Diceros bicornis minor: one gene and its partner. The protein of the gene in region 1 purifies or fractionates together with the protein of each later gene. This does not show direct contact. Links are inferred from orthologs where the notes say so. Each region holds a gene or a part of one and is shown on either strand. Other genes may lie near its edges.

The links. Proteins that work in one complex are often made in the same cells at the same time.
Region 2: the proteins of CDC5L (region 1) and SNRNP200 fractionate together in Homo sapiens (co-fractionation; 4 studies listed by BioGRID and IntAct, with this or other methods). This does not show direct contact. The link is inferred for Diceros bicornis minor from reciprocal best matches to the Homo sapiens genes CDC5L and SNRNP200.

The regions. Positions count from the first base shown.
Region 1 is NC_080753.1:21,502,992-21,510,297, forward strand, and holds the start of CDC5L (cell division cycle 5-like protein), read right to left. Parts: upstream 3,018-7,306; 5' UTR 2,907-3,017; coding exon 2,862-2,906; intron 235-2,861; coding exon 131-234; intron 1-130.
Region 2 is NC_080779.1:16,206,459-16,214,320, reverse strand, and holds the start of SNRNP200 (U5 small nuclear ribonucleoprotein 200 kDa helicase), read right to left. Parts: upstream 3,017-7,862; 5' UTR 2,937-3,016; coding exon 2,892-2,936; intron 2,362-2,891; coding exon 2,198-2,361; intron 808-2,197; coding exon 636-807; intron 1-635. UniProt on the Homo sapiens protein: Catalyzes the ATP-dependent unwinding of U4/U6 RNA duplices, an essential step in the assembly of a catalytically active spliceosome. Plays a role in pre-mRNA splicing as a core component of precatalytic, catalytic and postcatalytic spliceosomal complexes.

The DNA.
Region 1 (7,306 bases):
TCCCATCTCCCACTCCATACTTTCTGTTATATCACAATGCCTGCTTTCTTTGGTAAGGTTCAAAGAACTGACATTTTGTTCATCATAATGAAGGTCATTTACTGTTTTCCACTCATTAACTGGTACATACCATCTGGCTTTGCACTGCTTTGCTGATTTTCTATGCAGCAATGAGGCAATCCTAGACCACTGGTTTTTCCCATATTTCATTACCGCTGCTTTCAGAATTTCATCCTAAAAAATTGTCAAAGAAAAACAGTATATTCAATCACAAAACTCCAAGCAAGAAAAGACAAAATTTAAATTAACTCTAACAGGGTTGCTAGGGAGAAAGAGAGAGAAACACACACACACTCACACACACACCCCGCCTAGGTTTAAACAGAAAGTACAAAAACCTCATTCTAGCAAGCCAGAATCAGCCAAATGCAAGAAATTAGGGGGAAATCCCTTAGGATATCCTACCCTCCCTTACACACAACACTCCCCCAATAAATTGGGAGTGGGTACAGCCCAATCTGAGAGACCCTATTTGATAGAGATTAACAAAAAGTATTCTCCAATGTGTAGCTGTCATTCTCTTCAAAAGAGTACAGCTCATTCACTTATTCATTCATTCAGAAAACATTTCCTGAACACCTACCTTGTACCGGGTCTTGGGTACTTGGGGAAAAAGAATCGAATAGGCCACATCCAGCCCTCAAGAAGCAAGTCAAGACCCTGGTGAATCCACTCTCCAATCCAGGCTTCCTGTCTCCAGTTTACAAATGGCATTTTCTCTCCAGTCCCATAACTCTTACTCTGACCCAAAAATCCACATCTCAGATCTAACCTAAGAATTAAGTCAGTTCTTACCTCATGGGTCAGTTATGCCTCCAGCCTCCCCCAGTCTCTAGATACTATTTCACCAGGGCACCCACTCCAATATAGAATTCACCATTTCCAGGGAAGCCCAGCAAGCTAAGCCACAGACACCAGGGATAACAGTGCCAGAGATGAATCCACTTGCGGCATTTTACTTTTAGGCGTTTTTCCACATTGAACTCGAGCTACATGGCTCATACATACATGGGCCACTCCACCTCCACCCCCATCATCAGAGATTTAAAAAGACTACAGGGCTTTGGCCACTGCATAGGAATCCTGCTGTTATTTGTTTTTGTACATCTGTCTCTCTCCCAGAAGGCATCTCTTCTCCAATTTAAACAGCCTGTTTCCTGCTCTGCAAGCTCTGAGGCAAGGCTGTCACAGAGTTTATTTGTAACTCTGTTGCAGTACTGCTATACTCAAACACATCTTCAACTAGGTATACATACCAGTTATCTATCCTACTAGATTCATTCCACAAACATCTGCCAAGCAACCTACTTCATATTAGTTACTGATCTAGGTTCTAGGGATAACAATTACAATGCTGTCTGCTGGGGGAAAGAAATAGCAACTAGCACTTACTGAAAGACTACTACACAGCAGACTCTGTTCTAAATGTTCCAAATGTACTGACTCACTTAATCCTCAAGAGAGTAAGTAGTATTATCATCCCTATTAGAAAAATGAGAAAACTGAGGCTGTGAGAGGTTATCAGAAACTTACCAGCAGGCCGGCCCCGTGGCTTAGCGTTTAAGCGCGTGCGCTCCGCTACTGGCGGCCCGGGGTTCAGATCCCAGGCGCGCACCAAGGCACTGCTTCTCGGGCCATGCTGAGGCCGCGTCCCACATACAGCAACTACAAGGATGTGCAACTATGACATACAACTATCTACTGGGGCTTTGGGGGGAAAAAAAGGAGGAGGATTGGCAATAGATGTTAGCTCAGAGCCGGTCTTCCTCAGCAAAAAGAGGAGGATTAGCATGGATGTTAGCTCAGGGCTGATCTTCCTCACAAAAAAAATAAATAAATAAATAAAGTCTAAAAAAAAAAAAAAGAAACCTACCAGCATCACACAGAAGAATGTGATTCTTGCAAAAGGACAAAGCAAAATACAACTAGATGAAAGAGGTGCCATGGACCCCTGAGGGTGCAGTTAATTTTTACAGGGTGAATGGGCAAAAATTCGAAGAAGAGTTTCTGAATTGGGTTTTGAAGGATGGTCAGAAAGACGCCAAGGGGGAAGAGGCAGGAAAAGATATGATGTGCTCCAGAAACCGACAAATACCGCGCACTGTAAACACAAACGGCATTAAAATCTTATTTCTATTTTACTCCCTCTCTTCTGCCCTTTGGCTCACCACTAGCATTATCCGCTACATTTCTGGAAGCAAAGAGACTACTGTAGGCAGTCTGTCCTATCTGGCTTCTATCCAGGCTGAGGCGGAAAGACAAGAAGCGACAGGATCTGTCGGGAGGAGAGACAAGCTATGCCTTGATAACAGATAACCGGAGATGCGGGCAGAAATGGGCTCTTTGAACCTGGCACTCCAGCTGCTTCCCCTCTACAAGCAAGTCAATGAAGCAACAAACTTGTGGCCACAGCACTTGTTTATTTTTTAGTGTCAGAGAGAGACATGGTGCCCGGGCTGAGGGACGGGGGTGTCCCAGAAAACCAACTCTCGCGGATGTCCTATCTCCCCCTCCACACTGAGTTCCTCCAGGGCGGGGGGCGCGTCCTCACTTAACAAATGTTCACGACGGGCCTAACAAGTGCTTGGCAGGTAGTCAGGGGTTAAACCACGGTCCGCCCCCAGACGTGCTCAGATAACAACGGGCCTGGCACCACATAACGGCCCCGAGGATACTCCCCGCTCTGCCCCAGCGGCCGACCCCACTGGGCACATCCTCCACGCCTCCCCGAGCTCCGCGCGCCTGCGCACAAGCTGCCAGAGGGGGCGGAGGGCAGCGGACGGCGGGAAAAGGTAACTTACCTCGGTATTCCTCCACACGCCTCCCTTGATCATAATTCGAGGCATCTTGGTGGCGGGGTGTCTCGGCAAGCGGCCGAGAGGACCTTCAGAAAACTAGTAATGGCGCTGCGGACGCGGAACCCACAGCCACCACTTCCTCCAAGCGCGACCTTCTGCTTTGAAGAGATCTGCGCAGGCGCAAGGGGGTGGAGGGAAGCAGAGTAGCAAGTCTCGCGAGAACTCGGGTGGCTGAAAGGCAGTAAGTACCTTGTTAAAGCCTTAGTCTAGGAAGATTGACTGAAAACCATGAAACTACCCTGACTAAAGTGTCCTACGCCGCGCGTATATCCAAAACAGTTTGGAGGAAACCACGGCTCTCGCGAGATATCGGCGGTGGCTCTTGGCAGGGAATATAGTGGTGGGGTTGGTCGTGACGTCACCTAGTGGCAGAGAGTGGATACATCACGCGTGTGGAGTATCGGGCCAATTGGTCAAGAGTTTTGTTAATTTATTAACTTAGCACTATATTAGGCATTTAACTAATAGGAATTTATTCATAGAATACTCAGGAAAAGGCAATAGCTTAAGCCTAAACTTCCTATCCTGTAAAATAGATAATAATACAGTAGTACCATCCTCATAGGTTGTCCTAAGGATTAAATGCGATCACAAACCTAGCACAGTATCTGATACATAACAACTGCTCAAAAAAGTGGCAGCCGTTATTACAAGAAGGGCAACGCCGGGCCAGCCCGGTGGTGCAGCGGTTGAGTTCTGGAGTTCCGCTTCAGCAGTCCAGGGTTCGCTAGTTCAGATCCCGGGCGCGGACATACTCACCACTCACCAAGGCGTGCTGAGGCAGTGTCCCACATAGAAGAGCTACAACTCTACGACTATGATACACAACTATGTACTGGGGCTTTGGGGAGAAAAAAGAAAAAAGAGGAAGACTGGCAACAAATGTTAGCAAAGGGCCACTCTTCCTCAAAAAAAAAAAAAAAGAAGGGCAACCCCAGGTGATCAGCGGTTGTCCCAGAAACCTGCAGAAATGTCATGTCAGAATGTTTCATTCATCACTATTCAGTCTTTGTGGATTAATAATAAAGAGTTACCGCGCTGGTATTGGGCAAACTCGGGTTGAGTTGAAATCTTGGCTCTCTCATCATCTTGGGTAATAATCTTGCTGAATGTCAGCATCCTCATCTGAAAAATGGAGTTAACAATACCCACCTCACAAATTTGAAGGGCAAATAACTTAAGGCATACCTAAAACCCAATGAAGTAGGGATTGTGAAGCACCTCCCAATTACTCCGTCTCCTTCACTGTTTAAACACATCTCTTTGGCCCCAGCCCTGGAAGGTATGCAAGTATTTAGTTAATGGACTGGGAAACACCCTGAGTATTTATATAATGTCTTTCTCTTTATAGTTCTTCATTTCTCCATTTGCCTCTTCTGGAAGAGCTACAGAATTTTCTGATTAGATTTTAGTAAAAATTTTTACCTTGAAATGCAAAATTGTATCAATAAAATCACCACTTTGTTGAAAGGAGGCAGTATTGGATTATGAAGAACACACAGACTTAGCCATATAAGATCTCGGTCCACTCCCATCTCTGCTGTCAACTGACTATGCGACTGGTGACAAGCCATTTTCTGTCTCTGGACCTCTGTTTGCAATGCTCCTCTGTAGGATGTGTGACCATTACCGGTCCCACTCCCAACATCCACTCAGTTGCTGTGGTTACAGTCTCTCTCTCTCTCTCCCTCCCTCTTTCCCTCCCTCCCTCCCTCTCTCTCTCTCTCCCTCCCTCTTTCCCTCCCTCCCTCCCTCTCTCTCTCTCTCTCTCTCTCTCTCTCTCTCTCTTTCACACACACACACACACACACACACACACACACACACAGGCTATTTGATTGATCTGATCAAAGCTGAGTCAATTAAGTCTCCTCCCCAGGATTTTGACACTGGAACCTAGAAGAGGCCAATCTCTCTGCTGGCCAATGAATCGCTACCATGTGACTCCCAGGAGTTGTCTGCCACCAGGTTTCGTACAACGTAAACTAAGAAGGAAGGAAAGTAGGTCCCAGATGCATTAAGAAGAGCAGAGAAGAGAGAACAGAGAGACAGAGGTAGGTCCTGACTGTGCCAGAGTCCCTGGATCCAGTATGTTCCTTAGTTGTAGGTGCATCCCTGTTCTTATGATTAGTTCTCCTTTGGCTTTAGCCAGTTGGAGTTGGGTTTCTATTATTTGTAAGCAAGATTCTTAGCAAATCCAGAGTTGGACCACTCCTCTCTCAAGAGCCATTTCAGACCTAACATTCCAAGAGCCCATTGTGATGGCTTCTCCTTCCCATTCAGGACCACCTTTACCCCATATGTCACCTTTGTACCAACTAGAAAAAGGTGCCCCTTCCTCAGGGGACTTTATTGACAACTGCTGGAAAATTGTCACAAAATACCGATGTTTTGAGAACAGGCCACTCTTACTACAAGAAAATTTGATCTACCATGTCTACAATGTGAATTGCACCCCCTAGGGGCATGCGTTTTACAACTTGCCCGTTGGGACAGAGCAGCTCCGTCAAATGTTCCCCAATGCGCCCTTGAACTCGCAGACTCAATATCCCATTTCAAGCTTCAGAAAATGCAACATCATGCCAGTTCTGGGACGTCTAAAACCGGAGCCCCATAGCCACAAACACCAAAGGCTCTCCTCCAGCATGGCCTGGATTGGCTAGCCTACCCCACCATATTACCTCAGCCTCACTAGCCAGGCCTCAGGGCCCCCAGAAAGAGGCAATCTCCACCCCAGTGGCTGCCAAGGATCTCTGGCCAGAGCAGCCATAAGGAGCAGCCACCATCAGGCAACCAGACTGTACAGTCACTGTAAACCTTTAGGAAAGTGAGTGGTCATTGCTAAACAGAGGCTTAATGAGAGAGAGGCTCCACTTCTTCCCCACCCACCCAAATATGTTCCTCAGAACACTGGTCACATGGGACACTCCATTAAAAATAAGTTTTTCATGATTACTTGAATTTGAAAAAATCAGCATGCTCTGTCCACTCTCGTTTACAGAATCGCCAAAATTGAAGCCTAACAAATTGTAAGATGAAGAAATCTATTTCTCCCTGTTGTGGGTTAAACTGTGTCCCCTAAACAGATATGTTCAAGTCCTAATCCCTGGTACCTGTAAATATGACTTTATTTGGAAACAGAGTCCTTGCAGATGTAATCAAGTTAAGATGAGGTCATACTGAAGTAGGGTGGGCTCTAAATCCAGTGACTGGTGTTCTTATAAGAAGAGGATAAGAGATGTGGACACACAGGGAGAATACTTTACTAAGAAGGAGGCAGAGATTGGAGTGATGCATCTACAAGCCAAGGAATGCCAAGGATTGTTGGCAACACCAGAGGCTAAGAGAGAGAGGCGTGGAATATATTCTCTCTTTGAGCCCCCAGGAAGGAACCAACCTTGCTGACACCTTGATTTCAGACTTCTAGCCCCTAGAACCGTAAGAGAATAAATTTCTCTTGTTTTAAGCCACCCAGTCTGTGGTACTTTGTTACGGCAGCCCTAGAAAACTCATACACTCCCTTTTTAATATAGCATTTCCAAACGAATTTGACCCTGGAAACCTTTTTTCTTATAATATCTATAGATATGCAGGAAACACAATTTGGGAAACTCTGGCCCAGGAAAAAGAGGCTGGAGGTCCATCCAGCTTAAAAGGGGGGAACAAGAGATGTCAGGAGAATGCATTGTCCGTTTCCCCATCCCTCATCTCTTTTGAAAATAATCAAAATTCTAGTTTCCCTGTTGACCAGCTTTTTACCATCAAGAAACTGTACAGAAAAGAGTTAAAATTAGGGTCAAAAGCCTGTGACAACACCTAGGCACGGCTAGGGGCAGGGGTTAGCCGCCTCCATAATCTTCATCATCTCCCCAAATAAACAGATGGAATTTAAGTAGAAACACCGTGCTGCTTTGCAAATACAGTTTCAAGACAAGTCCTCTAGCCCCGCCCCATGTACCAGATTGCCACCTCTAAGCTCCTCCATCCCATTTAGAAATTCCTCAGCTAGTGCTGGGAAAAGCTAATGTCTGGGTGTCAAGTTACTACAAAATGGAATTCCACGCACTGTAAATGCTGGTAATTCATACTGTAATTCTAACCATGGTTAATCATCTAAATGGGCTCTGGTGTCACCCACTGACACTTCCTTGTGGTGGATCCAATTGTAGTTTTTTCTCAGGTACTCATCTTCATGGGTGTTATTTCTGGGGAGTCCCCTGTGCCCTGAGGTGAAGAAGCGTTCCCAAAGAGAATTTGCTTTTTGTCTCGCCCCAGAGGTCCAAGAGTCTTTTTGAGCTCATTTCTCAGTTTGGGATCAATATTCCAATCCGGCAATTTACATCTAGACCCTGCATCCACAAGGCACAGGCTTGGGTTTTACATTCTAC
Region 2 (7,862 bases), on another chromosome or scaffold:
TCTGACCATCTTCATTCATGTTAATAAAAAATGCCACCAAGAGTCACACCATTGAAGAACGAGCCTTCTGTTTTAAAAAAGACTAGGTAGGTGGTCTTAGGAAGCAGAAGGACACAGCTTCCACAACAGTCGGCCACATTTCTCCAGGTGGTAGAGACACTCCGCAGTCTTCTTCTAGTCTGTCAACTTTTGGCAATTCTTTGTCCTCACCTCCTCTAGCATCCCCCTCACCAGAGCCTCTCAGAGATTCATAAAGGTCCTTAATCTAATTACACATGTATAATGGTTAAGAGCACAGATTCTGGGTACAGACTACCTGGGCTCACATCCCAGCTCTGCCAAATACTACGTCTGTGACTTGGGAAAATTACTTAACTATTCTTTGCCTCACATTTTTCTTCTGTAAAACAGAAAATGAATATTAATAGCACCTAGTCACAGAGCTGATGTGAAGACTGAAAGAGAGGAGACACACAAAGCTCTACCCCACATAAAGTTAAGTGCTCAGTAAACAGCCACTTCTGCAAATGGGTATGGCTCACACAGGAAAATCCACAGACAAGGCTCTTCCGGTGCCTCCCAGTTGTGACTCTCTCCCTCTCCAAAAACGTGGTTTCACCCTCTGGCTGTCTCACCTGGTCCCCGAGGGCAGCCTGGATGAAACTGAGCAGCACCTCATAGGTCTCTCGGGTCTCTTTAGTCTTGGGCTTATAGATGATGCCCACCATCTCATCAATGCCCTCCGAGAGCAGAGTATAACCCTTCATCTTGTTGATGTCATGACGGTCCTCATCACGCTTTCTTCGCCTAATGGACACATAGTGTGATGTTGAACAGACAGAACCTTCTGTCCCAAAGGTAAGACGAAATCAAGCCCATTCTCCTCTTCTTCTCAGCTTCATGGCACACAGGTAGCATTTAAAAACATGAATCTGTACCTCAGCAAATAACTCCCTTTGGCCTTAGTCACTAGCAGGAGTATTTTTTAATGGAAACACAGTAACAGAAAGGGAATCCTCTGTCATTCTCTCACTAGATGCACTATACATTACAATGAGACATCTTCCTCATTCATTTAAAAAAGACAACCCTTACCAATGTTACCTCAATAAAAAAAATAAATAACAAACAAAATAAAAATAAAAAAGACAACCCTTACCAATGTTACCTCAATAAAAAAAAAATAAGTAGGGCCAGCCCCGTGGCTTGGTGGTTAAGTGCGTGCGCTCCGCTGCTGGCGACCCGGGTTCGGATCCCAGGCGCACACCGACACACCGCTTCTCCGGCCATGCTGAGGCCGCGTCCCACATACAGCAACTAGAAGGCTGTGCAGCTATGACATACAACTATCTACTGGGGCTTTGGGGTAAAAAATAAATAAATAAAAATTAAAAATAAATAAATAAACAAAATAAAAATAAAAAAGACAACTCTTTTTACTTCATATGACAATATTATACAATCGGATTTTGATTAGTTTTTCACTCTTGACACATTTTCTAGCCAGAGAAACTGAAGCTCCAAAGGAATCTACTACCATTGATTCCCAACAAATTATAACAAAACTGGAAAAGAAGTCATACTCTGCAAAGTGGACAACAAATGATGTATTAACTCATTTCAAACATAACTACTTTAATCAAAATTGTGCCTACAAATTTTTGAGACTTCATCATGGGAAAGGAGGAAGACACAGAGATGATCAGAATCAAAAGATAATGGTGAGATAAAGTTCAAAAATTAAGTTTTGAAATAAATCTCCCAAAAAGTTAAAAAAAGCAAACAAAAAAACCCACCTGTCATTCACGCTATGGATGCTTTAATGTCAGTTTAATAACAAAAGTAGAAAGTGGATAACAGGAGAGGAAAGAAGTAGGGGTGGGAAATTAGTAATTGAAGAAAAAAAGAGTTACTGAGACAAAGGAACAGCAAGGGTCTTGAAAATATCGGGAAGAAAATTAAGATGTCTCTGTGGACCAGAAACACATGTTAGAAAAAGGTCTAAAAGTTGTTTTCCACTTTAGGTACGCTTGATAAAGCCAAAGAACCTTTTAAATCTCATGTTCTGTTTGTACCTTTACTCAGTTGTTTTAATGCCACTGATGTCTCCTCTTGCACCAAGCAAAACACTGCTCAAATGCTCAAGGGAAGATGGACTTTGGATCTGAAGAAGAGTCATTTTCCCCTTGGTACTCACTTGGCTCTTCTTTCCTCCTGCATCTGTGGTTTGGTCCGTTGAGCCTTATCTCCCATCCGGGTGCCCTCCAGCTTCCCCACCAGGGACAGCACCTCTCCTGTGGGTTCATCCCGGCGGGTCCGGTCAATGAGAGAGCGGTCAGCTTGGAGGACAAGATTCGAGTTCTGAAAAGATCACAAGATTATCGAAGCTCTGACATAAGCAGGGACAATTCACACATCACAAGGATGCCAGCTGATGATAACAAAAGAAGCAAGAATCGGAGCCACTAAGTGCTGATAATCACTAGCCGGAATAAAAAGATGTCTTCCTTAAGAAGAAATAGCATCGTATAATCGCGCATGAGCAAAGGGCAGTCAAATCAGCTGAACGATCCTCGCTGCTAACACTGCCCATAACAACCCATAGCTGGGAAAAGCGGCGAGCATGTTGGGGGTGACGTGTGGAAGTGGGCGGGTATAAGGCTGAGGGGACAGGGAACAAACACTGCTAGCAGAGCTCTTAGCCCATCCCGCCCGCCCCAGACCCCGGCGGGGTTACTCATACACCCCCACCTCGTGTACCCCCGCTTCGGCCCGATCTGATTTCCCCTCCGCTTTGGCGGTTCTCCTGTAGGCCTTCAGACTGAGACTCCCTCAGCCTCCCGCTGCCCGCTGGGCTCCCTAACCGGAGTCCTCCCCGAGCCCACACGCACCGCCTTGTACTCGTACTGCAGGCTACGGGCGGTCACATCCGCCATGGCGGCGGCTGCTCCGGGGTCTCAGAGCTCCACTCTCCCCGCCGCACGCTACAAACCGCTCCGGCTCTACGCTCCTGCCGGGCCGGACGGACGCAGCACACACGCACCGGAAGGAGGGAAAAAACGGGCTCCCTTCCGCTTCCGGGTCGCGCGCCGGAAGTGTGGGCGGGGCGTGTCTCAGCGAGCGCGCGACAGTTCCCCGCGGCCTTCTGAGCGGGGTCGGCGGGGCTGTCGCACCAAGGTCCCTGAATCCTGGGGCAGCCGACCGCGCACCCCCACCCCCCCGCATCGTGTCAGTGTGTTTCTGGCCACGCTGGGCACTTTGGCCCCCGGGAGCATAGTCACATCGTAACTGTCAATGCAAAATAGCCAATAACCTTATTATGTATAGGAGAAGTAAGGGGAGTTTTACTTGAGCCAGCGTGAGGATGATAACCCCAGGAGGCCTTTTCTACAAAGGAAGAAAGCGTCCTGGACAAGCATGGTTTTCAGTACGTTTTGAGACAAAGAACATACATTAAACAACCCCAAGGGTACATATTTATCAAAGTTTCAAAGAAGTCAGTTGCAAAGTAGCGGGTGGACAGGACCCTGATGTCAGGAAAGGGACTAACACCTGTAACACCTGCGTTACCAGGGCCTGGGAGGGGAAGTACGCATTGTTATCGTGAGAGTGCGTTCTTTAAAGCTTAAAGCAGATGTACAAAGTGTGTGTGATAGGCCACAAGTCAGGCTTCTTTGGTTCCAGCCAAATCAGTTTTGAACCCAAAGTTAACCCCATATACCTCGATATGTGAAAATCTCTTGTCACAATGAACCATAGGCCTACTTAGCCCCCTATTCTATCCCGAGCGCTTTTCTACCCACTTCTTCCTCTGACTCTACTAACGGTGAGCTACGCAGGCAAGGAGGGGCTGATTAGCCCCATTTCTGGATGAGGAAAGCAAAGCACCAGCAAGTGCTTTAACTGTGTGTGTGTGTGTGAGAGAGAGAGAGAGAGAGCAAGAATGACTGGTATCTTCCTGTGGGTTTCTCATATATTTAACAATTTAAAGAAAACTCTGTCCCCTACCTGTCCCACCTAAAGCGCATGCTTTCAAGACCCTTGTTTTGGGACGGCCGGGGCCCCCTATTTGCTCCCAAGGTCTTGCCACATTCACGGCCCCCTCCATGGCCCCAGGAACTTTGGTGAAGGTAGCCACCCTTCTGGCAGGCCCAACTTCTTGAAGACAGTGACTTAATTGATAGTGACTTAATTTCTTCCCCAGCGACAGAGCCCTGGGGCCAGGAGGCACCCCTGCCCTCCCACTCCAATCAACCTTTTTTTTTTTTTGTGAAGAAGATTGGCTCTGAGCTAACATCTGTGCCAATCTTCCTCCATTTTGTATGTGGGACGCTGCCACAGCACAACTTGATGAGCAGTGCATAGGTCCACGCCCAGGATCTGAACCGGTGAACCCCAAGCCACCGAAGCAGAGTGCCAGCAAACTGAACCATTAGGCCACCGGGCCAACCCCAGTCAACCACTTTTCGCCTGTGGAATGGCAACTAAAAGCTGAATGGTTACCTTATTAATAGCCTGTTTGCTTTTGAAAGTTGAATGAAAGGGAGGTTGGTTATTAAGCCAAAGAATTCATCCTCAATAGCAGTCTCCTGGGCCAAATTTGACCTGCAGGGGTGTTTTTTATTTATTTATTTTTGTTCCAGCTTGGCTCCTTATTTAAAAATGGGATGGTTCACTCAACATCTAGATTTCCAGCATCTATGGAGAAATCAGAACACTGGCCACATGAGAACCTCATTACTACCTGGCGTACTTGCTCCGTGCTAATCAGAAACTGCCACTCTTAGAGGATACACATGCCCCTGCCACTGCTCCTATTTTCTGATACCAGGCCCCTTCACTCCTTGGTGTTACCTGCCTGGCCCCTGTAGGCGTGGCGTTTGCAGCCCTGACTGTGTTGTTGTATATCTAACTGGGCCTTCAAGGGGCAGTCAAGTCCTTGTGGCAGCTCTGCTCCTCAGTGACTGTGTGACTTTGAGGTAGCTCATTGGTCTCTCTGGCTGAGCGTCATTCTGTCATCCTTAAAATTGAGGCAATAAGATTTTCCTCATAGGACTGTTGTGATTAAATGTGGTGGTGTGTTTAAAAGCACCAATGAAGTGTCTAATTCAAGGTGGGGCTCACTGAAGCTTATTTAAATCTGAACCCTCAAGACTGACTTTCATTCCGTGGCCATGCTGTGGTTCACCCACCAGACACAAAAGGGATTTCTGCTCTGCAGTTCTGTAGGAGTGGTACTCGTGTTCACAGTCAAGCCTGGGCCGTGGGCAAATCTGTGAAGCAGGGAAAAAAGGAAAATTCCCTGGGCGGCCCGGTGGCGTAGTGTTTAAGTGCGTGTGCTCTGCTGCGGCGGCCCGGGGTTTGGATCCTGGGCGCGCATCGATGCACCGCTTGTCAAGCCATTCTGTGGCGGCATCCCATATAAAGTGGAGGAAGATGGGCACGGATGTTAGCCCAGGGCCAGTCTTCCTCAGCAAAAAAAAAAAAAAAATCATTGAACTGTACATTTTAAATGGAAGAATTGTATGGTACGTAAATTATATCTCAGTAAAGTTATTAAAAAAATTTTTAAACAGAATTATCCCCAGGAAGGGGAAGGACCTGGGAGCACCCTGACAGGCACAGATCCCTGGGGGAACTTTAGTTACCTACCAAGTTGGGCTCAGCTTTAGCTTTGTTCCGGTCTACGTGTGCCCCCTTGCGCTGCCTCTCTCCAAAAGATGACCTTCAGAATTCAGTCCTCCCTAGCCCCAGACCTGGACCCAGGGTTACTCAGGCTCCTGGACCCTGAATTTCTGTACCTTAACACCTGTCACTTCATTTAGTTACCTCTCAAATATTTATATGTGCACTAAACTCAGTGAGCAATTTTAGAGAGTCAGAGAGAAACAAGACCCAATTAGAACCCCTGAGAAGTTACAGTCTTGCAGGAGAAATGAAACATACAAATAACTGCTATTAAAAAGCAGAATGCTGTCAGTGCCACAAGGGGGCACTGTGGAGATCAGAGAAGTCACTGCTGACTCAGGAGACCAGGTGAGGCTTTGCAGGTGTAATGTAAAGGCTGGCTAGGATTTCAGTAGAGGCAGAGGGTGGGGGAGATTTCAGGGGGATACAGAAAAAGCAAAAGCATGAAGGTGGGAAGACAGAAGCATGTCCCAGGAACTGTTAAGAGCTCAGTTCAGCTGAGTGCAGGGCAAATGGTAGGAATGGAACAACGTGATATAATTTGGATAGATATGTTTAGAATCTCTTGAAAAAATAATGCCATTGTAAAGAGTTTTTACTTTATCCTAGGAGACAATAAGAAGCCACAGCAGGTGTCTGGTTTGGAGGGTTTTGCTTGTTTGTTGCAGCTTTACAGCAGGTATTTGATTAGAGGGACCAACATTTAGATTAAGCAAAAACTGACTGTTTATCATGTGGCAAGCATTTGCAAGCTACCACCTTAGCATACATTATTTTATTTAATCCTCATAAAGCCCTATTGTTACCAAGCAACGGGATTGCTCTGCTAGCTGCAGTCTGAGCCAATTAATCACAACAAGTTAGAGATGGAGAAAGGAAGTCAAATTAGATTAGATTAGCCGGCAAATTGGAAGACGGGTGACTAATGTCTCAAAAACCCATCTTCAAGGATTACAGAATCTTGAGGCATTACGTAGGGAAAATGGGCAGTGAGGAGGGGGCAGGGAAGATAACTGACTTGCCTGGCCTCACCAGCCTCAAAGCCAGGCCATCCCATTCCAGACCCTGTACAGGGGCTTCCTCACAGAGGTGGGCTTCAGGAAGGTGATTTTCACAGTGCTGTGTAAGATGGAAGGGGGTGGGGAACAGAACCAGACACAGGGAGTGTGGCTGGGAGGCTATTGCAGGAGGTGGAGCTAGAGGTTAGGTGTGCCCGATGGAGGTACCACGGGCAGGGGTTACGGAACCTTAGAAATGAAAGCCACACCAAAAAGCACTTGGTGATCGTCTTTGGTGTGTCCAGGAAGCCCTTAGGTCACCTGAACTCTTGGGCCTGGGACAGAGGAGTGCTGGGTCACCCAAAAGCTCCTTGGTAACTTGCATATTGGATGGTGAAAGGCCTCCTGACCTAGGACTGAACATACACTTTATAGGCTAAGAGTCAGGCTAAATCGAATGACTCTGGTAAGCACACTGTCCTACATGCAGAAGGGATTCAATATACGATAGTTCCCTCTCTATCTGCCTCGAACATCACGTCACCTAGTAATGCACACTTTTGAACTACTTTATTCATTCATTCACTTCGTTTAGCAAAATTTTATTGTCTCCTAGGTGCCCGTCACTGCACTAGGTTCCAGGGCTGCACCAGTCAACAAGACAGCTATGTGAAGATACATGTAAGGTTTAACTATGTGGTGACAAAATTGATTTTCTAATGAATTCATCTGGTGTTTGTCTCTAAACAGGCTTTGTTCCCTTCCAGGTCTTCACATTAGGAGGCGATGCCCTTGTTTTAACCGAGAGGAAGCTTAATGTAGTGATTAAAACAGGGACTCTTGTGTCAGGCTGCCTGGGTTCAAATCCCAGCTTCACACCCTACTAGTTGTACAGTCTTAGCTAAGTTCTTAGTGCCGCAGTGCCTCACTTGTATAATGGGGATAGTTTCACCTACTCCTAGGGTTGCTGGGCACCAAGAACTATGCTAGGAAGTAGTAAGTGTAGGGTATCGTCCAACAGAGCTGCGTTTCTCAAAAGCATTTATACAACACTTTGTGTTTGGAGGCAGTTTGTGACTCAAACAGAACACTGCCCCACTCTTTGTCATATCCTTCCTTTCTTATCCTGAATGGTCATACCAATCCTGGTGGCCCTTCCACCCAGCAGTCTGGGTT